3 linked regions of the Schizosaccharomyces pombe genome follow. The protein of the gene in region 2 interacts with the protein of the main gene of each other region in a biochemical or structural test. Each region holds a gene or a part of one and is shown on either strand. Other genes may lie near its edges. The genes, in order: zfs1, rcd1 and puf3.

What was found.
Region 1: the proteins of rcd1 (region 2) and zfs1 form a complex in vitro, tested with the Schizosaccharomyces pombe proteins (one study listed by BioGRID).
Region 3: the proteins of rcd1 (region 2) and puf3 form a complex in vitro, tested with the Schizosaccharomyces pombe proteins (one study listed by BioGRID).

Annotation. Positions count from the first base shown.
Region 1 is NC_003423.3:3,482,292-3,489,366, reverse strand, and holds zfs1 (zinc finger protein), read left to right. Parts: upstream 1-1,920; 5' UTR 1,921-4,698; coding exon 4,699-5,913; 3' UTR 5,914-6,519; downstream 6,520-7,075. Other genes in the region: dynamin family GTPase Msp1, read right to left, coding at 6,758-7,075. UniProt on the Schizosaccharomyces pombe protein: Binds to specific AU-rich elements (ARE) in the 3'-untranslated region of target mRNAs and promotes their degradation. Binds to ARE present in the arz1 mRNA and stimulates the rate of arz1 mRNA decay.
Region 2 is NC_003424.3:5,416,866-5,421,236, forward strand, and holds rcd1 (CCR4-NOT complex subunit Rcd1), read right to left. Parts: upstream 2,309-4,371; 5' UTR 1,947-2,308; coding exon 1,095-1,946; 3' UTR 501-1,094; downstream 1-500. Other genes in the region: mtq1 (S-adenosylmethionine-dependent methyltransferase), read right to left, coding at 1-415; multidomain vesicle coat component Sec16, read left to right, coding at 3,132-4,371. UniProt on the Schizosaccharomyces pombe protein: A differentiation-controlling factor that is essential for the onset of sexual development. Induces ste11 when sexual development is invoked through nitrogen starvation.
Region 3 is NC_003424.3:942,741-948,860, reverse strand, and holds puf3 (pumilio family RNA-binding protein Puf3), read left to right. Parts: upstream 1-1,952; 5' UTR 1,953-2,933; coding exon 2,934-4,900; intron 4,901-4,956; coding exon 4,957-5,120; intron 5,121-5,168; coding exon 5,169-5,236; 3' UTR 5,237-5,596; downstream 5,597-6,120. Other genes in the region: Tim9-Tim10 complex subunit Tim10, read left to right, coding at 280-380, 729-897; SPOM_SPAC1687.21 (fructose-2,6-bisphosphatase), read right to left, coding at 5,695-6,056, 6,113-6,120. UniProt on the Schizosaccharomyces pombe protein: RNA-binding protein involved in post-transcriptional regulation. Predominantly binds to mRNAs encoding mitochondrial proteins and localizes them to the vicinity of mitochondria for translation. Regulates mitochondrial biogenesis, motility and morphology.

The sequences.
Region 1 (7,075 bases), on a different chromosome or scaffold from region 2:
CACAAGGAAAACTCACCGCAGTTCTACGTATCCTTAAATCAGATACCAAACTGCGTAGCTTACAGTATAATAAATAACAGATTATTCCGTTACACAACACATTATTGACTAAACTTCCGTATATGAATTGAGTGTACGTTTTCACCATCATCAGTCAGTTCATTCGGTCGATACGCATGTGGCATGAATTTACCAGTTTTACGTGTTTCGTACAATGACAATTTGTGATTGCCGGTTTTGATGAATTCATCATGATACGATGGATTTGCTTCACTAGCAACGCCTATATGTTTAAAATGAAGACACTTAGGTCTAGAAATCTCTGTTTTTCTGTTTTCTGTTAAATCATTTTACCGAGAATAAAGGGGTATGTATGATGGATGGGGTACTTTCAATTCTTTGCTTTTCCTCGACCCACTGTAACCCAAGCAACATGCTAAAGAAAGCGAATCGGCCGTTTTCTCGATTTGAGTAGTATTATCATTGTTATTATAATTTGATATTTTAATATTGTTTTACTAGCAAGATCAACTTCCCTTTGTTCTTTTACATAGCGCAATTCCTCCTAGCTGAACACCTGACCGACCCCTTAACCCCTCCTCGTTCTCCCTTTGCCAAAATAAAAAAAAATAAAAAAAATAAAGAAAATATCAATAAATAATTTAATAAAAATTTTTTTTAAACAAAAATAGTTTTGAAACCCAAAATTAGGTAGACTATCTTTTGTATCATGCCGTAATTCGTATTCTCCGTCGTGTTTGCCAAAATTCAATCATCACTCAGATACTGTCAATAATAGCTTTTATATTTCAAATTATTCATCAATTTCATTTGTACTTTATTCATTTATTCCATTTTTCAACTTTTATTTAGATATCCTTACTCTTGTCTTTTTTACGTTTGTTTATGTCTTTTTGATGGATGGTTCTTGCAACTCGTTTTGCCATCTCCATCTCCCGCTGCTACTCTAAGCAAAAGCATTGCCGATGCATAACAACGCCTTCCGTAATTTTTATTAGTCCTCCGTATGACCACATTTGTCTGTAGTAAAAATGAGCTGTCCAGTCGAGAACTCCAGCTTCGTATGCATGCTTCCGGATCCTATCGTGCTCAAAGACCATCCCGCTATCTTACTTTACAATGTAGATTTGAACACGCCCCAGTGTGGAGGTAAACTTTCTGGGCCTTTTGAGCAATGGTAAGTACGTGTCTTCCGTTCATTATCCCAATCAGCTACAATTTATCGCCAATACTCTCCAATGAATGGAAGAACAATTACCAAACAAACACTGGGGATTGTGCCCACAGTAGATTGCGTGTAGAAGGGATAACAAACATGCTATTGCCATGCATGCATCTACACCAAGGAAATTAGAAAAAAATTTGTTCAAAAACGAAAAACTATTCTTTTTGATAATATGTGTAAAAATAAAATAAAATAAAATAAAATAAAATAAAATAAAATAAAATACCAATACATTTTGTTTCATATAGAATATAGAACTGCTCATAAATTAAAAAATAGCCTGCATCAAAAAAATTTATTCCAATTCCCTCGTCTTTACCTAAAACAACTAATACTGTACTACTTTTTTTAAATCGCATTCCTTTAGAGCACGCACTTTTCGAACCAATACACCGCCATTCTATGCAATGCTTCCCCTTTCCCTATTGTAATTCTACCGATAATTTTATTCTCGGAGTTGTTTTATGACTTTCTAATTTACTTTGTAAATTTTTCTTTTTTTGAAAGCTCCTCCATCTGTCCTTGCTCACGTTTGCCATCTTTCCATTTCAACACTGTAGTGTACTGCGCCACAACATCCGCACTGAGTGTCTTTTGCACATACCACTGATTTTACCGACATTCCCCACTTTTAAACAACTTGTAAGCACAGGGCTTGTTGAGTCCATCAACTTGCTCTTTCGACATCTTCTAGGTCGTTGACTTTACGTAGTATAAAGTGGCATTGATGCTCGAACACAATTAACTAATCTTAACACATTGATAATTGGTTTCTTTGTGTTTTAAACAAAAAAAAATTTCATCTCTTTTGTTGTCCCATATATATATTGATTGCGTGTAACCTTGAAATAACCTCAATTTCTGTACCGGGGTCGTTGCGTATCGAAACACTATTGTTATCGTCCTAGCATATTTGGATACTGTGTACTACACTATTGTCGTGCTCTCTTTTACTTTACTTTACTCACTTTTCCTTCCTTCTTGCCCGACACGACATTGAAACTGCTGGCTTCCTAGCCTTGCTCCTCCTTTTCGACCGGACCTGCTACGTGCTGTAAATTGATTAATCGTATACAATTGTGGTTTTTGACAATTTTCTTTTATTCTGTCGATTTTCTCTTTTTCTCTTATCACGACTTTCTGCTTCTCTTCTACAATATTTTGCTAATCGGCTTGTGTTGTATCAACAGCAAAGCTAAGTGACTTGACATTACTAGAATTCTTCCTTTCCTTCAAAAACACGTGCAAGTTTGTTCCATTTTAATATCTACGTTTCCTTCCTTGATTGCACTATTTCATCATTAGAGGGAACCACTTTTCTATATTACCAAGCACCTACTTATTTGGGATTTATTTATTTTTATTTCCTACGGCTAACTCGATTACGATTAGTGCGCGGCTTTTTCTCTTTGGAAAAATTTTTCTTGTTGGAACGGTTGTCAATCGCGTGCTATATTGCTTTCCTTCTTACCCGTTTACAATTTAGCTTTCCCTTTTCTCCTTTTGCAATTTTTTTTGGGTTTTTTTTAAAACGTACACACGCACTGTGTATTCCATCTAGCCATCAATCCTTCATTTTTTTTCCACCGATTAATCCTTTTCTATATATACCGGAATTTTCCGTCTTTTCTTTTTCGGACACTTTTACGAGCTGTTGCGAATTTCGTTATTCTTAGTTTGTGTTATTTGCTTTTAGCCGCCCTTTTTCTTCTTCTCTGCATCAACATAACAGGTCAGGGACCAGACAGGACAGGACGAAACAACAACGTAATCGTTCAACCAACTTCTATTACCATCGACCTCTAACTTACCGACTTACCACCACAACACTTTCCTCCAGAATAGTTGAAAGCCTTTTGACTTTGCTGAATCTTTCTTTGTGTGTCCGTGTGTGTGTCTGTTTTTTTCAAATTCATCACTGTTTGAATATCGGCATCTCATCCTTTTTCTCAATTTCTCAATTTCTTGCCTGAGATACCGTTTGTTCTTTCCGTTGAATACTTTTTTTCTGCAGTGTGAAAAAATTCCGTTTTACGTTGACAAAACATTTATCTCGGATTGAAAGTTGTTTTCGTAGCTGTTTGTTTTAGTCTATTCCTTTCAACCGGTTTTCTTGTCTCTGTTAGATTTGTTTTCTCTTCTTCATTCTGAGTCAAGCTCTGGGTTTTTTTCTTTGTTGGAAAACCATTCTCTTTTCAATTTTATTTCTCTTTTCTGATATCGAAGCAAAAGAGCTCCTAAACGCTCTCAATTACTGTTTAACGTAACAGATATATTAACATCTTAGTATATTTGCGTTTTATTTGTTGAAACTTTCGCATATCCCCTTAAAGCTTTTTGTGGCAATCCTTATCTGATATTGATTTATTCTTTTGATTCGCCATTTCTTTCGACGTTTTTAAAGTACTCTAAAAGAGAAATTATTTAAAATACTTTAAATTGGGCTCTGTTCTTTTCTCCATCCCACTTTTGTATCTTTGCAGCAATAGTCGGTTTGGTTGATAATCCCTATATTTCTTTGGACAAGATATTATCTTTTGCTGAAAAAACACCCCATCTTTCGATTTTGAAATTTTTTTTTCTGTTTCAATTTCTTATTTCTTTCTACTGATTACTCTCCTCATCAATTCTCACTCTTTTTTCATTTCAAATCTCGCTTTTATCCTATATCAGTGATAAAACTCCTGTTTGATGCTCACCTTGCACATTGGCACTAACTTTAACGTTTTCCCTTTATATCCGCAAATTCCCTTTTTTTTGTGCTTCGTATATTAAAAGCGTTCCCTTATTAGGTTTTTTTATACATTAAGGATTTACGATTAGTCTCATTTTGTTGTGTTTTGAGATTTGTGTTTTATGTTCATCTGTTGTATTCACTTACTTCAGAGAAAAAAAAGGCGTTTTTGTTCTTTTGGTTTAAATTTTATTCCCTAAAATTTGCATTCAACTCGGATTTTTTCTTTGTTTGACGACTGTTTTTTGAAAAGGATTGCTTTGGGTCACAAACACAATACATCCATCTATTAAACTTTTGTCTTCTATACTTTTACTTCCTTCTCAAAATCTTTCCTTATATCATTGTGTGGTTTCTCTCCGTTTTCTTGTATCTTTTCTGTTCGACTTCTGAAAAAACAGCGTCTCTATACTATTGATTTTCATCTTAAATTTGCGTGTTTTCTTTTTAACTCTACGTTTCTCTCGTTTTTCTGCATATTACTTTCGGTGATTACCCTGTAATTCTATTTTGAAGGTTGACGTTTTTTTCAAGTTCCTGATTCCATAATTCTATTTAACACAAGTTTTTTACTGGAATTTTTTAAGTTATTCTGCGCAACCTTTTTTTGATTCATTTTACAACTTCTTTGTTCGTTTATAACTAATCTTCTATTGTATCACTTTTTTCTAGTGAACTTCATTAATTTATTGCGTGTCTGTTTTTTATTCTTTTAACCATGGTTTATTCTCCTATGTCTCGACCTCAAGTACCTCTGGCTTTTCGCCAATGGCCCCCCTACAATTATAAGAGTGATCCCCTTGTCAACTCAAAACTATCTCAGTCTACTACGTCTGTTAATGCAGGACCCAGTTTAATAAGTCCATCATTCCTTGACTCCTACGCCAACTCCTCATCTTTACTTCACAAGCCATCTACAAATTTGGGCAGTTTAAAGACATCTAGTCTTCTCGCCTCTGATGAAGTTTTCCCTTCTTCAGTCATGCCCCAGCTTCGTCCATTGGATTCAAGTTTATCTGTTTCTCCTGAAATGGACGGTTGGCCATGGCATCACAATTCTTCTTCTAACCCACAGGGATACGCATGGACACCTTCATTACTTTCTTCCAACGCTACTAGCTATTTACATTCTGGTAGTTCTCCTCATGGAAACACAAGCAATCATCCTTCACCTATATCATCCTTGGAGAGTCTTCCTTCTCGTAGTAGCACTGGTAGTGGTAGTCTTGATTTTTCCGGCCTTGCCAATCTCCACGATGATTCCAAATCACTGGCCATGTCTTTGAACATGGCTGGCGTCCCTGTATCCGTCGATGAGAACTCTCAAACTTCGTTTCCTTTTGTTCATGGTCAACCGGAATCTACCATGTCTAGAAAACCTAAGCTGTGCGTTCAATCGAAATCAATGACAAACATCCGCAACTCTGTTGCTAAACCGTCGTTAGTTAGACAATCGCATTCAGCGGGGGTTATTCCCATCAAGCCTACAGCATCGAATGCCTCAATTCGCAATGCTCCTTCCAATTTATCAAAGCAATTTTCACCTTCGGGTAATAGTCCTCTTACTGAGGCTTCCAAACCTTTCGTTCCTCAACCATCAGCTGCAGGAGATTTTCGCCAAGCTAAGGGTTCAGCTAGCCATCCTCATGGTTCTGGCAGTAGTAATGGGGTAGCTCCCAACGGCAAGCGCGCATTATATAAGACCGAGCCTTGCAAGAATTGGCAAATTAGTGGAACTTGCCGTTATGGCTCTAAATGTCAATTTGCGCATGGCAACCAGGAACTGAAAGAACCTCCTCGTCACCCAAAATACAAAAGCGAGCGTTGCCGATCTTTCATGATGTATGGTTATTGTCCTTACGGATTGCGATGCTGCTTTTTGCATGATGAATCCAATGCTCAAAAAAGTGCAACTATTAAGCAATCTCCTTGATATCACATCAGCTTGTATAAGATGACTTTTGTTCTTTGTTGTTATGCAATCTGGGTGAGATTAATTTATTATGACGCTTACTTTCCTATCCTCCTTGGTTTTCTTATACGGTTATTATTTATATTGTTCTTCTGTAACATTATGTGAGCTTTTCTTTTGCAATCGCCTTTACCTTGTTTTTATTTATGGTTTTATCGCAAGGTTTGAGTTTGCCAGTCATGTTCACACTTTATTCTTTATTTATTTGATGACCTTATTGGTCAAGATAGAATTTATAAGAGAAAAAAATTAAAGAAGATCATGAGTTAGTTACTCTGTCATATGTCAGGGTACTGTTTTTATTTTTGCAAATCATGTACCTTTAGCTTTTTGCAGAATGGCGATTTAAAGAGTTATGAGAAGATTGGACAATATATATTTATAGTATTAAATTCGAATCTTGTTTACTTCGTCTAGCAATGCGATACGCATGAATCGGGGTTTTATTAGATTTGTGTGGTATCTGTAATATACTGTTATAATTCGAATCAAGGGAGTTTCTTAAAATACCCAATCTTATTACGAAAATGATTTATGCAATCAGGGAGATTTGATGAGCGAAGCCTATGTATTATTTGAATAACAGTAACGTTACTGCAAAAATTTAAGTAGTTATTTGAATGTTGTGCACTTTTCATAAACATAGATTTGCAATATGCATCAAAAATTTGTAACGCAATTCTGTACTGCTTACAAACAATTTTATTCACGAGAAAACTACCAGGCTATACATAGTAACACATACAAGCATTTTTGGAAAGTTAGTTAAAAAAATTCATTAAACTCGGACTACTTTACTCGTTATTTAATCGCTATCGGCTTGCTGTTCCAAGATAACTAATGAATTGATCTTCTGCAGAGCCAATTCCAAACATTGCCGCTTATGCTGCAACTGTAGCTGTGACTTGAGACGAGGATTTTCATTGACAAATGCATTCAACTGTTCAGAACTCAAAGAATGGATGAGACGCTGATCCAGTTCACGTGGAAATTGGTAATAAAACTCAGAAAGCAGCTCAATATTAATAAATAAAACTGCGGTATTAACCAGTTTATCAGAAACGGCATTTAAAAAAATTTCAGGACAGGTGTACTTCGCTTCTTTGTGCTTACAGGCCCTAGA
Region 2 (4,371 bases):
TTAGGTTTGCCAACACAAAGCTTGATATGCAGCCAGACCCTGTACATAAATCGAGAATCTTTAACGGTTTTAATCTCTCGAGTCGATTTAGCTTATCAACCACACGTTCAACCCATTCTTCTGTTTCCCAACGAGGTATTAAAACTCCTTGTTGACAATCTATCTTGATATTACCAAAAGGTTGACTTTTCAGTATATACTGAAGTGGATAGTTTCTTGCTCGAAGTTGACAGGCATTTACTATCTTTTTTCGCAACCCATGTTTGCTAATTTCTGGATACAGCAGCTTTAATTCCTTGCATATCCACGTCCACTCTCTTTTAGCCAAAGATGGATCTCTTGTGGCATGATAAAGAGGGAGTAGGCAAGGGTTTTCTCGATATAAAGCAAATTTAGTAATTCTTGGTAGTCGCATATGACAAACACTATAATTAGGAGGACAAATTATCTCAAATTACTTTTATCTGATTATTTGCTTGAATGAAGTATAGCAGAATTAACGAACGTAAATATAAATCAAATTCTGTTGTCTATTGTACGAATTCTTTAAATTTATTAGAGGTAATCGATGAAACTGAATTGAATATTGTAGAAATAGTATAAGTATATATGATACGAAATAGGAAAAAAGGTGTTTTGGTTAAAAACATTAAATGCGTCGGCGAATGTTATATCTTTTTCTATTTTTTTTTTTAAATTTTGCTGACTCGTAAAAATCATCATTCGTGACGCATTTTAAGGAAAGATTAAGAGAAAAGGATATGAAATCCTGAATCTAACAATTGTAAGCAAAATTAACAGTAAACCCCTGATTTCCTTAAAAAAGCCATCAGAGTAAGTTCTGTCCTGAGGAATAACTTGAGCACATTAAGAGGAGTGAAAAATGACAGGGCAAAAATAATAATAAAGGAAGATATAAGAAAGACACAAGAAAAAATTGGTGACGGACGAATAACACAAAAAATCGCCATATGCCAATCACTTACGGTCACAAATTATGATTGAAAGTAAACCAGATAGGAAACGAAGGGCAGATATTGAAATAATTAATTCAACATTTAAGAAAAGTTTTTTAAAAAAAAAAAAAATAACGATTACTGATTAACAACGGCGACGTCTGATAAGTTGATTAACAATTGGGCAAGACATTTTTTAGTGTTGTGATCATCCTTTAAAACCTGAGCAAAGGTAGCATCACGTAAAGGTTCTGGTAGACAGTGTCTTAGAGCTTCTCTGGCGCGAGGATTGTCACTAAGACGAAGATAGCAACGAATAACATGCTTTAGTAAACGAAAAGCAAAAGAGTCTACAAGCTGCATTACCATGTTGTTCAAAACCGACGCAACTGCATAAAAGCGTTCATATGTTTGACAAATATATTGAAGACCAACGTCGTCACATAAAAATTTTTGTACGATGAAAATCGCAACGGTTTTTGATAATTCAGAACCGTTCTCCATGATTCTGAGACAAAGAGGAATAATTTCTGTAGATAATAAAAAGTTGATTACTTCTGGAGAGTCATTTTTAACTAATGCACCAATCACCCCTAAACTAGTAAGGCGCAGGTATTCAAAAGGTTTGGATTTTGAAAGGGTATTCAAAAACGGGTATAGAAATAAAGTAATGTGTGCATTTAAAAAGTGGATTCTAGTTTCAGGATGAGAAGCGATACACTGGAGTAAAGCTAGCGCGTTGCACACTCTGTTACTAGTTGGTCCTGTAAGTGTGGGTGGATTTAAAAGAGGATAAACGCTGATAATTTCTTGCAACAAAGCCGTCATCACACCATATGAATGCCATAAAATAAGAGCCAAATCTTCATACTGTTCTCGTTTACGAGATAGTTCGACAAGAGCTTGTTCGCGAGATGTCCCAGAAACAAGTTGAATTATCCATTCATAGACAAGTGCTGGTTCATAATTAGGGGATTCCAAGTTTTCCATTTTTTCTAGAATGCGGGAAAGAAATAAAAATGCTATAGTTTATTGTCGAAAAGAATAAAATAAAGAATAATAATTTTATAGCTGCCGGAACTAAAGAGCAACACCTAACGAATTTGTAGTTCAATCCAAAGGATAGAATAATGCACTAAAAGGTAAAGAAAAGGTATTAACGTTAAACGACAGTCAGTAAAGTGCTGAGTGTCGAGAAAATGATAAAGCTTTTAAAATTTTAATGGAATTTCAGTCCTCGTGCTATGCGTGCCAAACAGTATCAACTTGCACAGCAATACTGGACTTAAATAATTTAAAATACAACAATCTTATAAACCTGAACTGCAAATGCTGTTCCGTAGATTTCGCGTGAGAGCAATGGACAAGCACAGTGTTGGCAGGGAATAGCAAACCTACCGCACTGCGCGTTAGAAAAATGCAAGATACATTACTGAGTAATAAGGAGAATCAAATATTTTTAAAGAAAAGTGGGCAAAACGCATTTAGAAAAGGTATTTAACCATTCTTAGCTCGCTTCTAATAGAAGCTATAAAATAACAGAGATATAAGAAAAGGAATTTACCTATGTTATATCTTTGAAAGCCTTTTTTAAAAGTTATTTCTAACGCTTTTGTAAATACTACTTTTCTAAAGATTTGTAAATACATATTCATACCGAATGCGTAACCGTTGATGTTTGCTAATTGCACATCATTTACACTTTCATCAAGAGTAATTTAGTATTCAAACATATAATAACTTGAGCCGTTTCTTCTTCAATAATTGCGTTAATGTTTGAATAGCTTTTTTGTTTACTATATTTACCCTTACGAAGAATTATGAACAACATTCACGAACAATTAATATAGCGTAGTATAAGGATGTATGCTATTCTGCTTCTGACTTTAATCTCTCGATACTGACTGGCGCCATCAACAAACTTCCTACCATTTTCTATATCCTTGTGGTTGATTGTTTTTTATTTGAACCTACCTATTATTATTTTCGATTACTGTTTGTGAAATTTTGGTTGACCATTTCTCATGGAAAGCTAGGGGCCAATTTTTTTCCTACAACTTTGAGCATTGTTTTATCCTCCATTTATTGGTATACTTTGCTGCCTATTTTTCGTTTAAAAAATAAGCTAAATTTTTCGTCTTAGTAATATAATATTGGGCACTAACGTATCAAGGAATGGATATTGAATCAGACCACGAGCCTAAGGAGTCTTCTGTTGATCTTGAAGGACGGCATGATTCTATACGCAAGTCTTTTGAAGCTGACGATATTGATGTGACAGATGAAAACACCATTTTTTCTACCTCTAGAAAAGAACAAAGCACAATTGAACCTATGGATTCCTTTGTTGAAAACAACATAGCCAATAGCTCCTCTCAACAGTCAGTTTCAGAAATTGACATTCAGTTGCCTTCCTCTGAGCCTAAAGAAGGTGTTAAAGAAGAAAGCAACTTAATAGAGAGTAATTCTTTGGACAATGTGCAGGAAATTAATCCTCAAAATACCATTGGCGACAAATCGGCTCACACAGAAGAGGAGTCTTCAAATGATAACTTGGTAAAAATTACTGCTGGAACCATTATTTCTGACATAATGGATGAGCCTGTTGTGGATGAAGACGATAAACTCTCTGAAGAAGACTTGAGCAAGGAAGACTTAGAAACGACTCTTAAGGGTGACGAAAACTATTCATCGTCGCAAAAAGAAATATATGATAATGATGAGACAATTCCTAAACCACCATCTCCAGAAGTCGAAAAGATAGAAACTAGTACTTCAGTTGAGAATGCATACATTACGAACTCTCAATATAATGACACTCTTGATATGGAAGATCAGACATCTGATTTAATTACAACTTTTGAGCATGAAAATGAAGACCATGAAGTCCACGAGGTTCCTTCCATTCACGGAATGGAAGGGACTTTTGAAACCGTAAATCTAACTTCTGAAGCTGGGAATGAAAAAGAGTTTAACAACGATTCTGTAGTATTGAATACGACGCCAAAAGAAATGCAAATTTCATCTTTAGATGCTGTTGACAAACTTGAAGATAAGCCTGTTTCGAACGACAATATCAAAGCCAATATAGAATCGTCGACTACAGTTGATAGGGCTTCATCTCAGCTTGAATCGGAAAATAACGAATCCACTTTTTTTGTACATAACCAAAATTCCTCCGGGCAACATCAAACTTTGGATTTCGTCGCAAGCAAACCCGTTACCGATACCCCTGAGCTTAGTAAGGAAAATACGTTGGTGTCTTCTGAAAACCTAAATGATCCCAAACCAAATTTGCCGGAGACTGAGGTTGATTTTGGAGAGCCTTTGGAAGTTGAGGCTCCCAGTTTTGTGGTCCAGAATAACAGTGCTGTGCAGCCAACGACCCAGAAAACTTCCGAAGATTCAACCGATC
Region 3 (6,120 bases), 4.5 Mb from region 2:
AAACGAAAAAGCAGTCCAATTTTTTATGAACAAATTAGCAGGTAGTTTTAAGAAATTAAAGAAATAGAGAATGACTACAAACTGATAATTATTAAGCGGACAACGTGGAGTTCTCATGGTACATCGTAGCCTAAAAACTAAGGATGTTACTTGAAAGCTCACTGCTACTTTAAGGTAGATGCTTTAACAATATGCCTACTCTCATTCCACCGCAACAGTGCTATCGGTTTAATAAAAAAACCAAATTGAAAGCAATCTTTGCGCCATAAATCTATAAAAATGTCTATGTTTGGAATCGGAAAGAATAATCAGACCATTAATCCTCAGAACATTGCTATGGCTGAGCAAGAGGTTGAGATGATGTCTGATATCTTTAATAGGTATGCTTAATAGAGAAGCTAAGGATTGATATTTACAGCCGTCTATTTTTACGTTTCAAAATTCATCGTGAATTTAAGTATTCGAAGGGTTGTCAAAAAGTTACAAAGTCTCAGTACATACCTTGAAAGTAGTGCTGTACTCGTTTAAGTCAATTGTACTGCATACCTAGCTTTTTTAAAAACTATGGTACTTTGGTAGACTAATTTTTGGCAACGTAATATTATTCCAATTTTACATAAGTATTTGTTTACTTCTTTAATACATTTACATTGTTTTATCTTATGAAAAGACCAATCCGACGAATTTCTAAAAATTTTTCTACAAAAGTCGCTAACATTCCTTTCTAGACTTGTAATGACCTGTCATAAAAAGTGCATATCTCCTAAATACTATGAAGCCGATTTAACGAAAGGAGAAAGCGTGTGTATTGACCGTTGTGTATCGAAATACTTTGAAGCAAATCAGAGTCTTTCACAGCACATGCAAAAGCGTGGTCAAGAAAATCCAACACCATGAGCCCTTTGATTATCAACACATCTACCATTGTAGTATAAAATGGGTCATGTCCGATCCTATGTTACGGATGGAATGCTTTAAAAATTTCTCTACGACTTTTGGGATTCTCATTATACAATAAATAAAATTAATTTATAGTATTATTTTGAATAATGGAATGAAACCTGTGCGCACATCCGTGATATGGTGGTTCATACAGAAATAATTTCGTTCTTTTTTATTTGATGTCGTGTTAAACCATTTACGATACTCTATAATCTATGGAATGATCAACTTCTCTCTTCTTTTTCAAACGAAGCAATACTAATTATTAACTCTTTCATGACACTCTTTCTATCGTATTTCAAACGAAAGTTCCACCAAGCCCTCAAGTTTTCCCATCTGTAATTGTTGCTATTATTATTAATCACCCGTTCTCAAACTGAAACCTTTTACTATTCAACCCATGATTTAGCAGTCATTTGTTTTAGCCGAAAATTACTCATTACGCTATCGTTTTCTAGACTCTAGGAGATGTAAATAACTTATGTTTTAGGAAATAGTGTCCCGCTATTAGCCCCCACGGAAGCTGTCGTTTTTGTGAACTTCTTGGAAGAGATGCCTCATGCAGCGCCTCCTTGAGACTTTTGCAATTGTAAATCTCTTGTGCATTACCTTCTATAACGATATAAAGTACACACTGTACTGCAGCATTACTCACAAGCATTTGTGTTCTTCGAAGATTTCTTTCCGAACCTAGTCGGAGCTGCGTTCCACCTTGTTCCGTGCCTGCGTTAAGTGTTTCACGGAAAGTAAAGGCACGCTATACGCCTGACGGCTGATTTCAATAGACAAGAGATATGTCTGCGGATATAGTACCGTTGAGCGCAGTGAACGAAAGTCGTTTGGTAGTCGATATGCAGCAATTGCTATAGTTGAATACATAAATAGTAATTCTAAGTTTGTAAAAAATAGAAATAAAATTGTAAGATTAACGACATTGTATATTTGTTTAATGGTTTGTTCGACCGATCGTCATGACATAAAGTGGAAGCGCTCAGCTCATCAAACTTACCGGGAACCACTTCGACTCCAAGTTTGAATTGCATTTTATTTTTTACCCTTTTGGTTTCTTTACATTTTTTTCTAAGTTTGATATCAATTAATCGGAAAGCACTTTGAAAAACTACTGATTCATCATATCAGAAGCATACTTTAATTTCCTTAATACCACCTAAGGCGCTCGAAATTGTGAAATCTCGTTTCATTAAAAAGAAAAGAAGCTTTAGGTACTAAAATTACCATAATTGAACGCTGACTAGTCTTGGCGAATCCTTTTTCATCATCATTATTCTCAACTACGATTTCATGTTAATACTTGTTGGGCTTCTTCGATTCGAAAACGGGAAATTTGATTCTAACAATCATTCTTTATCGATTCATTGATTCTTTTTTTTCTTTTTTTACCTTCCTCTTCTAGATTTTTTTCTACTTTTTGTAAGTTCATAACACTTCGAACACAATTTCATATTCGTTGCATCTCCCTTATATAAGCTTTACCCTTCCAAAAGTTTTTTTCCCGAGCTTTACCCGACATTGATTTATTTGATTTAACTAATTTATATATATAATATTCATAACATATATATATATATATATATATATATATACATTACTAATTCTTTTGGTGTCCTTCGTTAGTGAGTGAAGCAGTCGTTGCTAAACTCTTACGAGATTTTGAAGAATCATCCAATTTTTTGCCGCTATTTATGCAATAATAGGTCTCAATTCAAAGCCGTAGAAATACTTTTCCTCAAGTATTTTTGTTTAACTTATTACTTTGACCGGTACAATCAACCAGTGGAGACAAGCGACATTTACTTTATTTCATTTGGGTTGTTTCTATTTCTATTCTTTTTTTACTGTTATATCCTTCTTTGTGCTTTTTGGTTTGCTCCAAGTATCAGTAAAACTTCGTTACACTCCTTTTTTGTGCTACATCATTTGTAAATCTTTACACTTTCGCTTACCTGTGAAAACTGTGTTTCCATTTTGTGATGTTTACTGCTGTAAATTCCAATCCAAACGCATCTGAGAGCATTTCGGGAAATTCTGCATTCAATTTCCCGTCAGCACCTGTATCTTCTTTGGATACGAATAATTATGGTCAACGTCGGCCCAGTCTTTTGTCTGGCACATCACCAACTTCTTCATTCTTCAATTCCTCTATGATCAGTTCTAACTATACTTTCCCACACGGATCAAACAAACAAGCTTCCTTAGAGTCACCTGTTTCCTACTCTAACCCGATCCCGTCTTTAACTTGGCTTTCACTTGACGGGGATTCTCCCGATTCACTGGTATCTACGCCTACTGCCCCTTCGGCTAATCATCATGGTAATCCCTTCCCTAATGGTAAACAAAGTATAAAGGCGATGCCAAGTCTTGTTAATTTGCAAGAAGATTCTGTTATCTCGAAGTTTCCTAACTCACTGGAGGTCCCTTTTCGTAAGCGTTCCGAATCAACTAGCTCTTCTTTATCTGGCCTACATTCCGATTTGCGTCCTTTGAAGACAGAACTTTATGGTCAGTTGAACTCTGAGTGCGGCGCCCGATTTCCACAAACCCTAAAATCCCCATTGACGCCCATTGGTGGTGATTCTGCTCGTACAGTTTCTGCTAGCACAGCAAGAACATCTGATAAGTTTTTCCCTCGCCATACGCGCGCACATTCTGATTTTTGGATCCCAGCTACAAGTAAACCTTCAAGACATGCTTCACATTCATCAATAGGCGATTTAACTACTATTACCCAATCTTCTATTTCAAGTGGCTCAGGATCTTTTAAACCGTCTTGGGATGGCTCATTCGACTCAAGTTTGATGGCTCATCAAAGTTATGGAACTTCTCCTGCATTTGCTAATGGTAATTCACCTACTTTGAAGAATGATTCGTCATTTTTTGGATCAGCCTCTGTACGTCCTACTGTTTCTCCTATTGGTACTTCATTTAGACAAAGTTTGCCTGATATATCTGCCTTTGGTATTCCAAAAACCGAAACCAATCCTTCTGAAGTAGTTGCTCCTGGGACTATTCCTATAAGTGTATTACCAACTTCCAATTTTTCGGCAGCCACTCCAGCTAACCCTTCGTTAATTAATCAAAATGGACAGGAATTTTTGCAACAATCCAGAGTTCTGTACTTATTTCATGCAAATAAGCAGAGACATTTCGAGTTATCTGATATCCTTGGAAATGTAGTTTTGTTCAGTACCGATCAACATGGCTCAAGATTTATTCAACAAAAGCTTGCGACGGCCACTGAAGAAGAAAGGGAAGCAGTTTTTCAAGAGATTGCGTCTACTAGCTGTTTGCAATTAATGATGGATATCTTTGGTAATTATGTGGTGCAAAAGTACTTCGAATTTGGTAACGAGAAGCAGAAACAAATATTATTGTCGCAGATTAAAGGTCATGTTTTTTCCTTATCTTTGCAAATGTATGGTTGCCGAGTTGTTCAAAAAGCTATTGAATATATTTCTCCTGAGCACCAAGTTCAACTTATTCAGGAATTAGATGGTCACGTCCTAGATTGTGTATGTGACCAGAATGGAAATCATGTTATTCAAAAAGCTATCGAATGCATTGATACTGGACACTTACAGTTCATTCTTAGAGCTTTGCGCCCACAAATTCATGTCCTTTCCGCCCATCCATACGGTTGTCGAGTTATACAGCGTGCCATTGAGCATTGTCATAGTGAGCGTAAATTAATTATAGAAGAACTGCTACCTCACATTTTGAAATTAACTCAAGACCAATATGGAAATTACGTTGTTCAACATATATTGAGAACCGGAAGCGAGAGCGACAAAAAGTACATTTTTGATCTTATGATAGATCATTTGCTATTTTTAAGTTGTCATAAGTTTGCATCTAATGTTGTAGAAAGGTGTATTTCTTACATTTCCGACGTTGATCGACGTCGAATTTTGAACAAAATCATCTCTGAGAAGGCTGAAAAGTAAGTATCCTCTTTTATTTGCAACTCCAAGAATGTATCTAACTAATTTCGTTAAGTTGTAGTATTTTGATGTTAATGATGAAGGATAAATATGCGAACTATGTGATTCAAAAATTACTTGATGCCTCTCCAGAGGAGGAAAGGGATCTTCTTATTTCTTACATATATCCTCATATATCTGTTCTTAAAAAATTTACCTATGGGAAGCATTTGATAATGTGTAAGTGGTTTATTCAATTTTTTTTTTCGTTACTAATTATTATGATAGCGGTGGAACGTTTCCGTCAAAAATCCATTTCCGCAGTTCCCAAGCTGGCCAGCAAGGAATGCAAGTAACCATATAATATGATGAATGTGGATTTTGCCTTGCTTCGCCGGCTTAAAGTGGTACAAAACTCTTCCGTTAGAAGTTGTACATAAACCTTTTTTTTTAATGTGTTTGTTTTTTCATGTACTTTATGACACTTTCCGCATCTCATCAGCGGGGCACGAAATGAACCGAAATGTTAAACGTGATGCTCTTTATTCCATTATGATATTGTTATTATTGTTATCATTTTTATGATTATATTCACTATATATGGAGACGAACAGCAGCACTTATTATTTAAGATAAGCCAAATTTACCTTTTGAATGAAAAAATATTAATTTAAAATTTTATATAAGCATATACTAAAAAACAAAATTATTTGAAAATTTTAATTTAAACGTGAGCTATCACTAAAACATTAGTACTAGCTATCTAAAACGAGCAAAGGAAAGCTTGATAGGTCAAAAATAGTAAGTAAGAGGTTTAAGCAATTAATTTGCCAGTCTCTTCCGATTCAAGGTGAGAGGCATCTCCGAACGTATGAATATGACCGGTCCCATGCTCAGTCACCTCAATCTCAGTAATGCTGGTATTAAAGGTTATGATTTTGCTTTCGAGTTTCGATTTGTCAAAAGTGAAACCCTTTTCCTCCATAAAATGAGTTCGCAAAACATTGATAACACCTCCATGGCAAAGGACAATAACACATTTTTTCTTGCCTTGTAAAGGGACGACATATTCATCCCAAAACTTCAATAGACGACTAGTAAGATGAGACAAACCCTCTCCATAATGATCTGGATGGTTGGCATTCAACAGTTTTTTGGCTTCTACAACGTTCATGCCTATTTCATTAGAATTTTTTATATTAGAAAAGTACTTGTTTATACAAAATTCATACCTTCAAGA